Linked DNA regions of Pelodiscus sinensis. The protein of the gene in region 1 interacts with the protein of each later gene in a biochemical or structural test. Links are inferred from orthologs where the notes say so. Each region holds a gene or a part of one and is shown in the gene's direction. Other genes may lie near its edges.

Evidence for each region. The genes of interacting proteins can lie anywhere in the genome.
Region 2: the proteins of APBA1 (region 1) and CNTNAP4 form a complex in vitro, tested with the Homo sapiens proteins (2 studies listed by BioGRID and IntAct, with this or other methods). The link is inferred for Pelodiscus sinensis from reciprocal best matches to the Homo sapiens genes APBA1 and CNTNAP4.

The regions. Positions count from the first base shown.
Region 1 is NC_134716.1:32,505,414-32,509,166, reverse strand, and holds the start of APBA1 (amyloid-beta A4 precursor protein-binding family A member 1), read left to right. Parts: upstream 1-1,443; 5' UTR 1,444-1,668; intron 1,669-2,917; exon of another isoform or gene 2,918-3,077; intron 3,078-3,753. UniProt on the Homo sapiens protein: Putative function in synaptic vesicle exocytosis by binding to Munc18-1, an essential component of the synaptic vesicle exocytotic machinery. May modulate processing of the amyloid-beta precursor protein (APP) and hence formation of APP-beta.
Region 2 is NC_134716.1:45,710,933-45,714,685, reverse strand, and holds the start of CNTNAP4 (contactin-associated protein-like 4), read left to right. Parts: upstream 1-1,562; 5' UTR 1,563-1,868; coding exon 1,869-1,953; intron 1,954-3,753. UniProt on the Homo sapiens protein: Presynaptic protein involved in both dopaminergic synaptic transmission and GABAergic system, thereby participating in the structural maturation of inhibitory interneuron synapses.

The DNA.
Region 1 (3,753 bases):
CCACTCTGCCTCAGAAGAACAGTGTTAGGATATAAGAGCAGAAAAAGATGAAGCATACACCAATTTTGTGGTATCTTTTTTCTGCTCCCATCTGTGCCCCAGTGCCATGAGGAGTTACACTCTCTCCAGTATGTAAAGCTAGGAGACATCTCAAGGAGGGAGGAAGACAAAGAAAGAACAAGTACATTAAATTGATGAATAAAGACACCAAGCAAGAAAAAAAATGAAATGGAAGAAAAGGTTTCTCTACAGCAGTGTGAGTGCGTGTGGGGGGAGAATGTGATAGTGAAGCAGAAAGCACCATAGTACTGTATTCAGGTTTTAGAGGTGTTCCCTGAAAAATTGGGCTTTTGCCTTATTGTACAACATACACTTTTAAACTATACATTTCACTCTACATTTTGCATTAGTGGGATATTGTAGGTAACTGACAAGGTTGTACAGGTTTAATTTCGATTTATAGGATAGAATCAGAATGGCTCAGCTGTGTGGCATAGAGTCTCTCTGGTAGTGTAGTGTTTATCAGTGATAGATGCTTCCCAGAAGGATCAATGAAGTTTTGTTCTTGCTGATGATTAAATTCTGAATTAACATTAGCATAGTAACAACTATTGCATTCTCAGATAAGTACTGATTTGTTATTTTACTTTTCTTCCAAGTATTTCACACTTTACAAACACTAATTATAGTTTGTGGTCTATGGGGAATTATTTTTCACTGAGTTTCAAAAATCTTTTAAAATCTCCCTCCTTTAAATGAAAAAAAAAAGATTTCATAATGAAAGTCTCAAGAGATCTACCAGGACAAGAAAAAATGAATGCACACCTATCACCCTTCCCACATCACACATTCAATGTGTGCATGCAGGCAAATTAGTACAAGAGAACTCAGATACCTAGTGGCGCTTCCTAGAAGTAATTGAAGGCACATTTACTTCATTTGTGCACAAAACTCAGATAGGTGTAGACGCAAATCGAAGTTGCATAATTGTTTATGGAGTTTCGGCACACATTTTGAAACAAACCTGCGCCCATAGTTTTAAATGTCCTCCCTTCAGCAGCAGGGCAAATTGGGTTAAATGTGGTGAAGGCTTTGGTGGGGAAGAGGTGGACATTTGGCCGTGTGGAGGGGCTTGCTGTTGATGTGAGCGTGGCTCGCTGCATAGCTTACTCCTATCTCCATCTGCCGCTGTTGATGAGAGGGGCTGGTGCATGCTTGTGCTGTGGATGTGAGCGGGCTTGGTTGCAGCAGGGATGCATCTGTTGGCTCTCGACAAGGAGAGCAGCTGCATGCCCGCCCCTGCCGCTGATGCGGGAGGGACCGCATGCCTGTATCTGCGGCGGACGGAGGAGCAGTGACTCGCCCGCCTCCCAGCCCGCTTCTCTCCCTGTCTGGCTGGGCGAGACAGAGCCTCCGTCTGTCCCCGGGGCAGTCACGCGGAGGGAGGCGGGGCAGGGGCGGAGCCGCAGGAGAGGGGCTGGCCCGGGCGCTGCGCGCCGGTGGCTGCAGAGCTGGAGCCGCGGCAGGAGGAGCGAGGGGGAGGAAGATGGTGGAGCTGGAGGTAGGAGCGGCTGAAGTGAAGGCTCATTCCCCGCCTGGCTGCCCTGCTCCCCGGCCCCAGCAGCACCGCGCTGCCTGCTGAAGGGGCCTGCGCAGACTCCAGCCGAGGTAACGAGGCTTCTCCCCAGCCCCGCTGTGGCAAGGGGATGGGCGCAAGGAAATACCGCGAAGGGACAGAATCCGGCGAGCCCCGAATGAATGTGGATTTGGTGCTGCGGCCACATGCTGAGCCCGCCTGCGGCTGAGGGCTTGCCTAGGGGCCCGGCTGCAGGAGGGCCTGGCTGCCTGCACAAGGCTGCGTGTGTGTGTGCGCGCGCGGGGAGCAGGGGATGTGAGCTAACCTGGCTGAGAGAGACCGGGGGATATGGCATGATTCCTCCTCTCCCTTCCCCCCTCCCGGATCTGCTGGCAGCAGAGGATGCTGCGACTGAAAAAATGAGGTGGTGGCAGCCGCCGGCATCAGAAGTGCACAGTGTTGTGGCAGGCACTTGCTGTGTGCAGCATGCACCAGTGGGAGTGGGGCGGGGGGATGGGAGACGGCAGGTTTTAGGAGGGGGTGTGTGTGTGAGACAGAGAGTGAGATTTGCAGTGAAAGATACACAGATTTGTTAATGCCCCTGGGGCCAGCTCTTGCTGCAGATAGTCTCAACACAGTAATCATTATGTTTTTTTAAAATGTGGTGAGTTGGGGGGGGGATTTATTGTTATGAAACCATTTATGTTGGTCTGTGTTCTCACTGGAGCTAATAGATTACTTTCCTTTGATAGTGTGGGGAATGATTTTTTTTTTCTTTTTGGAGGTGGGGAGGAGACTGTAGCAACTGAACAGAGGCAGCACATGGCCCTGGCAGAACAGGGGATGAAGATGACATCTCCTGCAGAAAGTGCTGCTGGTCTCCTCTTGACAGATTTTGGAGGTTCCAGGAATAGGAAATTGTTCCCATCCCTAGTGCATCCCAGGATCTGGGACACTTTGTGTGTGTGTGTGTGTCTGAACAAGGACAGGGATGACAAGCTGGTATTGTCAGATACCACTTTTAGAGAACAGAGCCCACTTGATTTGTTCTTGCCCTTACCAGCTTCTTCACGGATGCTGGTGCAGTCAGGTTGTGGCTTGGTTAAATCAGGCCTGCAGTCATCACAGATGTATATCTTCCACCTTTTTTTCTGGGAAGCTTGGTCTAGCAATTCTTCAGCAATTCACTGAAGCTTGTTTTGCTGTCGTTATGTTTAAATCTGCATTTAGGGAATATACTGGGGACCTTAGGCCTGAGCTTTCAGAAAAATGAGATGGCTTTCCACTTCTTGTGGCTTTATTATGATGAGGGATTTCAGCTTACTGTATTGTGCATTACAGATCTCTGATGCCATAACTGCTCATGAACTAAAACAATGGGACAGAAAATGGACTATAAGGCATTGATGTTTCTGGTTCTGCATATATTAAGGATGCGCTAATAAGGGGGACAAACACGGCATGTGTTGTTAAATTTTACCTTCATTGCACATTATACCAGGTGATAAGAACACATCCTACTATAAGTATTTTAATGCATTTTTGTTAACCTGTTTCATAGGATCTCAGCTATCATGCTTTGGAAAATATTCCAGTCACAATACTTTAAATTTCACTGCATTGCTGTCAAAATATGAATAGTGTGCCCCTATCTTTGCTGCCTGTGGCTGTCATACCTCCACAAACAAATACATAACATGTTGTCATTATCAACGTTTGAGAAATAGAAATAAAGGGTAAATCTTTGTATAGGTAACCAAAAATGAGGGTCATTTATACCTGTCACTTTAGAAACTCGGTGTCAGAAATCCTGCTCATTATTGTTTTGTATTCCACCAATTGCCAGTGCTTCAGATCAGGCTTTCTTTGCCCAGTCATTCCATAACACAGCTTTTAATTTTCCTCTTCTACACTTCTTTCATTCTGATTTAGAATTTGTTTAAAATGTCACTATATGTAATTTATATGTAAAGATTAAAGGATACATTTTATATACAAGTAATTTTTTTCGAATGTTAGGTCTATGATCGTATGCTAGTTCTTTGTGGAACTGTTGTCTAAAATAATACTCTAAAACATAGTCCTTGTTTTCCCCCTTTCTGAAGCTCTTCTTTTTGCCACATAATTGACTGCATGCTCTTATTTTTGTTAAAAGGCATCGTTATCAACTGGTGGTA
Region 2 (3,753 bases), about 13 Mb from region 1:
ACCCTAGTTCACATTCATAGATAGAAAGAAACCAAACCTTTCTCCAAATCTCTCTCAAAACATTGTTTGGCTAAATTAAAGCCCTGATCTGAGCCACCAATGGTCTTGCTTTGCAAAACTAAAGTGCTGTAGCTGTGTAAAAGCAAAACCGCCTCCTTTCCCCATTTCTAGTTAAATCAGTGAATGGCCAGGATGTTTGGAAGCTTGGCTTAGATAAGCAACCAAAAGTTTAGATTATGGGAGCCTTAGCCAGGCTTCCTTCCCACCGTGCTCCCATCGCCAAACAACTCTGATTGGTGACCTGTATTGAGTTCTGGGGGAGTGGTCTGAAACATGCCACAGTTCAGACTCTCTTCAGTCTGGCCCACTGATGGCCCTGCTGTGTTTTGAAGTTGTATGTTTGCAATAAAGAGGGCAGGATTTACACCAGCTGTCAAGGCTGGTTTATCCTACTATAAACCTTTGAAGGAAGACCCCTGATAGGGGGGAAAGCCCATCAAGGAGATGTGAACTCCACCTTTATATCAGATTGGGAGATTCATAGAGGCTTCTGAGAGACCTTAAGGAAGAGGGTACTTGTTGGAACAGGGGCATGTATTAGAGAAGCTGGGAATATGGTGAATCTGCACATTATTCTAGTAGCCTCCGGTGCAGTCTATAGTCTGAATCTAGTCATGGGAACCAAGAGGAAATGGTAGTGACAGAATCTCCACCAGTCTGTGAGGTGAATGATCACTGTTAGCACAAAATGCCTCACTGATGCCAGGAGAGACCTAATAAAATGATAGTCTTTAACATGTAATCAGGCTTGTACTTATTACTCTGTTTACCATTCATGGCCACTCTAGCCAGTTTTTCAAGTATATTTTGAGGCTGTAAATTAAAATACATACATCACAATCCCTCTGAAAAATAAATCCAAGCTAAAGCTTTTATACTCCTATAACAATCCTTTAGACAGCTTAAAGAACACTTAATATCTTTAATGTTAATATCTTGTGTGCTAAAGATCCACCAAAGTATTTTATTTTAACCCTCAAAATGAGCAATAGCAGTCAGGAAATGCTGACACAAGCTTAACCAAGTGACACCAATCTTATTGAAGCTCCTTCATTTATGGGTTATTACAAAATTTCTGAGGCATTATTTTCTTATGGAGACTAGGTTACTACTTCCTACATTTACTTTTCTCACTTAGGTCCAGTGCACTTTCTGCCTCCCCTCTTAGAGTTCCTGCCACAAATGCTTGAGAAACATAATATATTATCTCTAAAAGATAATATTTCTAAGTGCCTTAGCAACTGAAAGTTCTTTCTGGATATAGTGTCTAAAAGGAGAGAAAACCAGGATGTACACCAAATAAATACATTTCACATATATAAAAATCACTGTAAAGACTTGGGCATAGTGAAAGCCCAGAAAAGACTGTCCCGGTGCATATGTGCAGAATGTTCTATCATATTATATGGCTTTCATTAGAGACTCACATTTCCTACCTATCACCACAAGGGGTGTCCAGGACACATGTGAACGTGTAGCTTCTGTAAGCAAGCTGTCAGGGTAGTCTTGCAGTTTAGCCCTGAGTGATTCTGTGAAATTGGAGGAGTGATTCTTGCTGCTGTTCTTAAGGGATTGCTGTTGTTAGGGAAGGGGGGGAAAAAAAAGCAGATTTGGCCGTGTGTGTGCATGTGTGAGCAGATGCAGAGTGCGTTTGACTGAGGAATCTGACTACTGGGATGCACTGAAAGAAGAGAGACGCACACAGACAGAAAGAGAGACAGAGAGAAGAGGAAGCAAGAATAGGATTGAAGTGCAGAACAGCTGTTCCCTAATACTCAGTTCTTTTGGGTGCCTCAATACATGTGAACATGGATTCTGTCACTGAAATCATCTTCAAACTGCTGTTTCTGTTATTGGTTCAGAACTGGAACACAATAGTGTCAGGAAATAAATGTAAGTATTGCAAATTATTTAAAACTCAGAGCACACTGCTTTGAAAACTTCTGGGCTATTTCATTTAGCTTTGAAATAAATCTTGCTCTTGAACTAAATGCTTAATATATCTGTAAACATGACAGCAAATAGCTAGGCTGACAATGTTTCTTTGGCTGAGAAATATCATTGTCTAACTTCTAAAATTCTAAAATTTTTATACAAATCTATATACAGAATTCTATTGAGAAGTTCAAGTTCCAGTATAATCTGAAATTAACCAAGGAAGTGCATGTTCCATTCCCATTTTAATTTTTGTTTCCTGTTTTACAAGGCATTTTGTCTTACATTGAAATTACTGGAAGACTTCTACTGTATGCTGCATCAGCTTAGATTTTAGCACCGGGTAATTCAGAAAGCTGGTAGCTGAATATCATGGAATAAGCAGGCACTCAAATAAGACTTATGTATAGTAAGATGCAGTTTATGAGCAAAGAAAATGTAACAAAGAAAAAATCTTGAGGACAAGATTTCCTGGAATGTGCACTGATTTCTTAGAGAATAGTGCTCATGTACAACTAAGGAAGAAGGCACTATCAGTAGCAGCAGAAAGTTTTTTTTTAAATGAGTAAACCATAGGTAGCCAGTAGGGTAGTATTACAAAACAGAGACAGGTGATTACACTGTGTAAGGGAATCTGTCCTTTAGAAGGCAGATCTGATGTATATGTGACTTTGAACTGGGATCTTTGATTTCAATGTTGAATCGAGTCTGAGCATTTTGACCTTTGACTAATTTATCAGAAACTAACTTCCAAGCAATTTACCAACTCCGTAATTGTTCTGAGTTCCTTTGGCTTCAGGGAATCATAAAGCTTTTTATTTTTGATACATCTATCAGAATAGTAGCCTAAATGGCCGATGTTTAAAATGAGCACCCTGTTTTGTTTTGACTTTTAATCCAGTTGAAGGGCTGGCTGTGCATCATGTGAATGGGAAAGGCTGAGATAGTGACTGCATTTTAAGAATGTGGGTGTTAGTGCTACTGGGAATGTTCAGGAACAACTTTACAGCACTGTAGCAGGGGACAGCTCTCTGCAAACATCTGAGCCATGACAAAGTTAGAAGCGCTGTGTGCATTGAAGAGTTTTCCTGTGGACATCTTGCAAACTAAACATGCTACAATGAGCCTGATGATCACACTGCAGCGCCAAAATGATCTTGTGCTGTCATTCGGTAATCATATCTCATTTGATACTCCAGTGCATAGAGGAGCTCTAAACATAAATACTAAGCTTCTTTGGAAAAAAACCCTGCTGCAGTCCAGGCTCAGCTTTAATTTTCTTAATCATTCTGTATTGTTAATCTGAAATTAACAATTAATTCTCTTAATCATTCTGTATTATTAATACATCCATTTTCACAAGATCATGATAATTGAATCACATTAATAGCATTTGGCATTATTCACAAGACTAAATCAGATGTTTACAGAAAGGCACATTAAAACTATTGCAAAATAGGACTTGCAGAATACAACAAAACAGTAAAGCACTAGAGGTCACTCTTACAATTTAAGAAATAAGGCTTAGGAAAAATCAAGCTTTTTCTAGTACAGAATTATGAAGGGTAAAATATATCAGGTATGAACCACATCTATCCTTTTTGTTTCTCTAGTACTTCTCAGTGAAAAGGCAAGCAAAGCTTAAATGAATGTCTATATTAATACACTTTTATTTTTCTTACACAAAGAGATTTGCCTATAATTATCTCATAATCAAAACACCCCTGTGAAGTAAGGAAATAAGGATACTTCTCCATG